2 linked regions of the Daphnia pulex genome follow. The protein of the gene in region 2 interacts with the protein of the main gene of each other region in a biochemical or structural test. Links are inferred from orthologs where the notes say so. Each region holds a gene or a part of one and is shown on either strand. Other genes may lie near its edges. The genes, in order: ubiquitin-conjugating enzyme E2 J1-like and ubiquitin-like modifier-activating enzyme 1.

The links.
Region 1: the proteins of ubiquitin-like modifier-activating enzyme 1 (region 2) and ubiquitin-conjugating enzyme E2 J1-like form a complex in vitro, tested with the Homo sapiens proteins (2 studies listed by BioGRID, with this or other methods). The link is inferred for Daphnia pulex from reciprocal best matches to the Homo sapiens genes UBA1 and UBE2J1.

What each region holds. Positions count from the first base shown.
Region 1 is NC_060019.1:13,202,502-13,205,883, reverse strand, and holds ubiquitin-conjugating enzyme E2 J1-like, read left to right. Parts: upstream 1-1,415; 5' UTR 1,416-1,578; coding exon 1,579-1,609; intron 1,610-1,690; coding exon 1,691-1,896; intron 1,897-1,969; coding exon 1,970-2,512; 3' UTR 2,513-2,728; downstream 2,729-3,382. Other genes in the region: 5-methylcytosine rRNA methyltransferase NSUN4-like, read right to left, coding at 1-62, 134-265, 326-734, 796-969, 1,044-1,154; alpha-(1,3)-fucosyltransferase C-like, read left to right, coding at 2,953-2,963, 3,038-3,146, 3,230-3,382. UniProt on the Homo sapiens protein: Catalyzes the covalent attachment of ubiquitin to other proteins. Functions in the selective degradation of misfolded membrane proteins from the endoplasmic reticulum (ERAD) and is essential for cells to recover from ER stress.
Region 2 is NC_060018.1:5,973,747-5,977,611, reverse strand, and holds the start of ubiquitin-like modifier-activating enzyme 1, read left to right. Parts: upstream 1-782; 5' UTR 783-930; exon of another isoform or gene 931-1,076; intron 1,077-1,182; 5' UTR 1,183-1,202; coding exon 1,203-2,579; intron 2,580-2,640; coding exon 2,641-2,724; intron 2,725-2,795; coding exon 2,796-3,215; intron 3,216-3,299; coding exon 3,300-3,645; intron 3,646-3,701; coding exon 3,702-3,844; intron 3,845-3,865. Other genes in the region: polynucleotide 5'-hydroxyl-kinase nol9-like, read right to left, coding at 1-422. UniProt on the Homo sapiens protein: Catalyzes the first step in ubiquitin conjugation to mark cellular proteins for degradation through the ubiquitin-proteasome system.

The sequences.
Region 1 (3,382 bases), on a different chromosome or scaffold from region 2:
CTTCAGCACATTATTAAGGCGCGAAATCCGCGAAATCGTAATGTCATTGCAGACAAGTCTATCTACAGCAAATCAGGAAGTAAAAAGACAAATTGTAATGAAGCATTAAAGTTAAACTGATGAATTGATTTACTTGGATAGAGCGTCTGTAATATAGCCAGGGATTTCCCTCCTGGTGCTGCACATAAATCCAAGACAGACTCAGTTGGCTGTAGGTTCAGCGCCAATACGGGAAGTAGAGATGCAGCGTCCATCAAGTAATAATCTAGTAAAAGTATCTATGACAATTAGTAATCCATAAAGTGAATCTAGATACTGAACTTACTGGAAGTACCAAAAGTACTTTTTTTAGGGGAAGGAAATCGCGAGATGTCCCCTCGTGGAAAAACAAACGCTTTGAGCAGAGAAGGGAAATCCAGGCGTTCGTCTTTTTGCTTTTCAACCACAAAGTCGTAAGTTGGCTTGACATATTCAAACTGATCTTCTTCCTCTAGCCAATCTTCCATCCCTTTTAATTTTGTTGTCGGAACAAAATTCAAGTAGGCAGAAGTTGTCTGACCAGGAGAGATGACTCTGTCATCTGTGAGCTCTTGAAAGTTTTCACTCTCCTCATCTTCAACACCAGCTTCCTTTTCGAGGACATCAGTAGGCATGTTTTCTGGGGTTTTACGTGTTTTGGTTTTTTTGGAACGGCTTTGTTCAAAAAGTTCTTGAATATCCATGCACCCCATATTCTGAATGAAAGAGAATGAAAATCAATCGAATGAATTCACATTTGAACCCAAGTACTTGTACCTTGAGCTTTTCAATAGTTTCGTTATAGTCACCGTAGTAATTAACTAAAGCACAATGTTTAGGTGTAGACAACATTGCAAGTCTTGTTGCTGGCCAAAGGTCTCCATAAAATGTACCATAAAAATCATCGAAATGATCCAGGGCTCTATCTGTGTTGGTTTTGGACCACAAGTTCTAATAAAAAAACAAATTCGGTATACTACAAATTCATTCGTTGGTATAAAAAGAAATATTTTGTTCATTCTTACAGCTTCTCTTTTGTCAAACTTGTGCCGCTGGCTGACAAAAAATTGTGGGAAATTCCCACTACCGACAGCTTGCTGCAATTTCGAGATTGAACGCCACTTGCGAGCGAACATGTTTGCTTAATTATTTTCATGCGTTCGTGATTTTTTTTAATTTTTCAGTATCTTTGCCTTTGGAATTGGTTTTGGATTATTTGGGCACTCGAGACACGACTGTGATCTTTTTGCAGCACCTTCACTTCACGTGGCCGAGGAGAAAGAAAAAATCGAGGTCTCGTGGAAATATGCAAATTGCAAAATACAAAATTCGGGCGATTCAGAGCAGACGACAAATGTGAAGTGTGGACGCCATCTATGGATAGATAAATGAGACTTTAATATCAACATTTACTGCTACTGGCGTTTCGTTACGATACGTCATCCCAAATAAATCGACGTATCTCAGTCAGATTCAGTTAGCAATTGTATGTGGTAATAACAATCAGTTTCAGTGATACCATTTCTGTATTTGCATTCTTTGAGAAGTGCACTTAATAAAATGGAAAACAAATACAACATGAAAAGTCCTGGTAATGTATATTTTCACTTTTGTTGTGCAATAGCAATTGTTACATCAAGTCTGTTTTCACTAATCTATATGTTTTTTAAAGCTGTGAAAAGGCTGATGAGAGAAGCTCAAGAGCTATCACAGCCCACTGCTGAATATTTTGCCCAGCCTGTAGAAGACAATTTGTTTGAATGGCATTTCTCAGTAAGAGGTCCGGCCGACTCTGATTTTGAAGGTGGAGTGTATCATGGAAGGATATCCCTCCCTCCTGAATACCCTTTGAAACCGCCAAGCATAATGCTTCTGACAGTATGTATTATTCATTAATTTATTGATATTGAATGAATTGACCTAGTAAATAATTGTTTCTCCTTTTCCACAGCCTAATGGAAGATTTGAAGTCAATCGCAAAATATGTCTTAGTATATCTGGTCACCATCCTGAATCTTGGCTTCCTTCTTGGTCCATAAGGACAGCGTTGCTAGCTATTATTGGATTCATGCCATCTCCTGGTATGGGAGCCATCGCATCTCTGGACTACACACAAGAAGAAAGACAAAGGCTGGCTAAAAAATCGCTAGAATTTGTTTGCCCAGAATGTGGGAAAATTTTGAATCTTCTTCAAGAGCCCAGTCAGCTGACGACAAACGAAAACGAAGCCGTTCAAGCAGAAGCCCGAGAGATCGCAGCTCAGGTTACAATGAAGGGTGAATCGAACAACGAAAACCCGCCTGAAGAGCCTGCATCAAACACTGAAGAGCCGATTGCTGTCATCCAGCCGCCCCCACCACCATCCCAGCAAGTACAAACAGCTAGCACCAATAATAATAATGATCTTACCTATAATTACATAATCGCGGCCATCATCGTGGCTTTGGCAATCCTTTTGTTCCGTCGATTTGCTTCGGGTACGAGTGCTGCCTGAGGCTGGAGTCACAATCTATAAATATTAAATCTTTTATTGATTTCCAAAAATTCATGACTAGTAGAGTTAAAATGTTGAGAGGATCTTGTTCCTGGAGAATGCGTATAACGGGACTGCTAAATTCAACTTGATTCTGTAACAATGTGGCAATGAAAATTGTGTATGATTTGTGTATTCATTTATTGCAGATAAATAATTATAATTAATTTCAGGTGATTTAATTGGTCTCTAAAACTTTAATGTTTCAAATGTAACTTTTTGATTTTCTTTCTGTCCGGTACAGGAAAACGTAGGAATACAGTTGGATTTTGAAGTGAAGATAAGCGGGACAGATAATACATCATCGCGGGGAAAAGATAACTCATTTTGATAGATTAGGTTACAGGTTTTCATTTCCATTAGTCTAGAAAAAGTGCAACGGTAGTATAGATGTCATCATCATGGGTAAAAGGTATAAAAGCTCGCTGCAAAGTTTTCGCTGTTTCTTAATAAACTTTTAATTTTTTTCCAATGCCTGAACTATAGCGAAAGAGATCAAAAGAAACAGTGGGGACTCTTCTTTTGTTGCATCATTTTTGTGACTCTCGTCATGGTCTGTTATTACCTTCCACCTGGCTTTCGATTCGGCACAAATGTACATTATTCGACATCTAGATCTTTATTTTAAAAAAAACAAACAGATGATATCTCCTAAATTGAATCTCTAACGACATATAGGATGATTGCGTTGCCCCCTATTATGCAGATAACTCCACGGATCGAGTGAAAACAATTTTATTCTGGACGACTTGGTTTGGCCAAAAAGTAGAGATAGATTTCGGCATTTGTCCCGTTAGCAATTGTCGACTCATTAATGACCGACGCTTGTTA
Region 2 (3,865 bases):
TCCTCATCCATAGCAAAGGTTTCTTCAATACCTTCTTTTTCTGCTGTTAAAAAAGAATCATCCTCATTGGGAGAGGATTGGAATGAATTATCTTCATCAGAAATGTTGCTCTCCTTTAATTTAAGTTTTAAGGCACCAATGCCAGTCACCGACACACTTTGATTAATGGTTGAACTGTTGTCTACATTTAATTTGGATGATGTTTTGTTCTTTCGTGAAGTTTTTTTTTTAAGTTTTGATCTTTTCGAAGTTGGTTTGGTCTGTCCATTTTTTAAGGAATCATAGACACTTTTGGCTGAAAGCAAATGACTGACAAATGACAATTTTTTCTCTGCCATATTTGTTGAGTCAGAACTATCGTTTGTGTTGCTTTTTCTTGAAGAAGAAGCAGTCTTCGTTTTTTTGGTTGAGAGTTTCTTCATATTTGTCAAATCTTCGTGGAGGCTTAATGAATCTTCAAGAAAATTTTGGTTTGAGTTTTTATTTTAGTAAGCTATTTTAATAATATTCAATTATACCTGATTAGATCCTATTGTTATATTTTATTTTAAAAAATGCAGATTTTACAGTATTTTTAAGCAGCCGAATTTTCAATCCAAGCACGTGTAAAACTGTAAGCTATAACGCTCAAGTTGCCAGATGCTCTTTAATTCAGCGATCAAATTGTCGGCGGGAAATGTAACTATTATTACGCGTACTTTCTTTGTCATCATCATCACTCTATTTAATAATCGGCTAATAAAAAAGTCGACTATTGCGCCACCTTACTCGTTGATTACAGACATTTTTACTTTGGATTTTAGTAGGAATAGGGAATTGCCGGTACAAGGACTTACTTGCATCAGCTGATACCCGCCATTTCCCCATATCTACGTCGAGTCATCGGTGGGAGAAAGGTGGCAGCACGCAGCACTTTCGAGTTCATAGAAAGTACTGGTAATTACTGACTGACTTTCTGTTGCTCTCTTGCTCGTCATTCTTTCAGTTTGGCTATCTTTCGTTCCAATCCTGGTGTGCAAATTCGCCGGCATTTTGTCGTAATTGTTCATAATTCTCCCTTCGTTGGAATAGTCTAAGTGAGTATTCCAATCGTTCGGAGTTTGAAACTTACCGTAATTTTTTTTATATTAAAGTAAGAAAACTGGTTTGTTAGCACCCATTGTGACGCTCGTGTTGCCCAAGGTATTGAGTTTAATTTTTAGATGTCCACTGCTGAGGTGGATCCGTCACCCTCGTCTCCCAGTCCTGCTGCAAAGAAAAGGAAGTTGGAAGAAAATAACGGGAACAGCAGTAACGGTAGCAATCACCATTTAAAAGAAGTTCAGCAGCAACCGAAAATGGCAGGAAATGGCAACATCCACACCATCGATGAGGGTCTTTATTCCAGACAACTTTACGTATTGGGCCATGAAGCTATGCAGAGGATGGCAACTTCTGATGTCCTGATTTCCGGTCTTGGAGGCCTTGGAGTGGAAATTGCTAAGAATATCATCTTGGGAGGTGTGAAGTCCGTCACCCTTCATGACAACTCAATTTGCAAAGCCTCTGACCTTTCTTCCCAGTTTTATGTATCGGAAGCAGATCTGGGAAAGAACAGAGCTGAAGTTTCTCACAAGAGCCTGGCCGAACTCAACCAGTATGTCCCAGTAGAAACTTATACAGGAGAGTTGAACAAAGAATTCTTGAAGAAATACCGAGTTGTAGTTTTAACTAATTCAAGTCTTGAAGAGCAACTTCGGGTTTCTGAGATCGTTCGTAGCTTCGGCAATGCTCTCATCGTCTCTAAAACACAAGGTCTGTTTGCCCAAGTCTTCTGTGACTTTGGGGAAGATTTCACCATCATCGATACTACTGGAGAAAATCCCGTTTCTGCTATGATTGCTGGAGTGTCTAAAGAAGAAGCAAGTGTTGTTACTTGCTTGGATGAGACCCGGCACGGATTGGAAGATGGCGACTGTGTTACCTTCTCTGAGGTACAGGGCATGGTTGAGCTGAATGGTTGCGAACCCAAGAAGATCAAAGTACTTGGACCATACACCTTTAGCATTGGTGACACGAGCGCTTTCAGCGACTATGTACGTGGAGGAGTGGTTACCCAAGTGAAAATGCCTAAGCAAATCCACTTCAAACCGTTGGCTGACGCTCTCGAAGAACCAGAATTCGTGATGACAGATTTCGGCAAATTTGATCGGCCTCCCCAAATCCATCTAGCATTCAGGACATTGGACGCCTACGTCAAGAAGGAGGGACGATTGCCAACTCCTTGGAGCCGTAAAGACAGTCAACAGTTTGTGGATTTAGCTAAAGAGTTAAACAGCGGTCTAAGTGGCTCATCTAAAGTTGAAGAAGTTGACGAAAAGTTACTGGCCACCTTCTCCCATGTATGTCAAGGAGATTTGAACCCCTTAAACGCCACTCTCGGCGGGGTTGTCGCTCAAGAAGTTATGAAGGCGTGTAGCGAAAAGTTTTCTCCCATTGTTCAATGGCTATACTTCGATGCCACCGAGTGTCTGCCAGATAACCAAGATTCGTTGACCGAAGAAAACTGTAAGCTTACTGGATCCAGATATGATGGACAGGTATTGAAATATTTATTTTTGTTTTTCATCAGTTATGCATTTTATTTTTTTACATTTTCAGGTGGCAGTGTTTGGCAATGAATTCCAGAAAAAGCTTGGATCCCTACGTTACTTCATTGTGGGAGCTGGAGCTATCGGTTGTGAGGTAATTATCAAAGTTTTTGTAATAAATTTTCTGTAGATTTTATTAATTAAAAAATATATTCTATTTGTTAGCTTCTCAAAAATTTTGCCATGATTGGAGTTGGTGCTGGTGAAGGGGGCCAAGTCTTCGTAACAGACATGGACTTGATTGAAAAGTCCAATCTGAACAGGCAGTTTCTTTTCCGGTCGCATGACGTACAGAAACCCAAATCCAGTTCGGCGGCCGCTGCCGTGAAGGTGATGAACCCTCAGGCCAACGTTACAGCCTTCGAGAATCGCGTCGGTCCCGAAACGGAGCAGTTCTTTGATGACGATTTTTTTTCGAAATTGGATGGCGTTGCTAATGCCCTCGACAACGTGGATGCCCGTATCTACATGGATAGGCGCTGCGTCTATTACCACAAGCCCTTGCTCGAATCTGGAACTCTGGGTACCAAAGGAAACGTTCAAGTTGTTATCCCCCATCTAACGGAGTCATATAGTTCGTCTCAAGTAATATAGCTTATTATTTATTTTTTCTTTTATGCTAGTTTTCTGGTTTATTGTAATTAATCAACTTTCTTCTTAAACTTATAGGATCCTCCGGAAAAATCAATTCCTATCTGTACGCTGAAGAATTTTCCTAATGCCATTGAACACACACTGCAATGGGCTCGGGATATGTTCGAAGGGTTGTTCCGGCAATCAGCAGAGAGCGCTGCTCAATATTTAGTTGATTCTAAATTCATGGAGAGAACACTAAAGCTAACAGGATCTCAACCACTCGAGATAGTCGAGGCCGTCCACCGCAGCTTAGTTGAGGAACGTCCGAAGAATTTTGAGCAGTGTGTTCAATGGGCTCGCCTCCATTGGCAGGAACAATATCACAATCAGATCAAGCAATTATTGTTTAATTTTCCACCCGAGCAACTTACTTCTTCTGGTAAAATCTATTGATAAAGTGTAATTTACTTTGTATATAATTTTTTGTTTTGACAGGTCAACCGTTTTGGTCGGGACCTAAACGCTGTCCTCATCCATTGGAATTCGATATCACTAACCCCGTCCATTTGGATTATGTGGTTGCGGCTGCTAATCTAAAAGCTAAAATTTACAACATCCCACAGTCGCGCGATGTACAGGTGAGTTCACTTTTTTTAGTT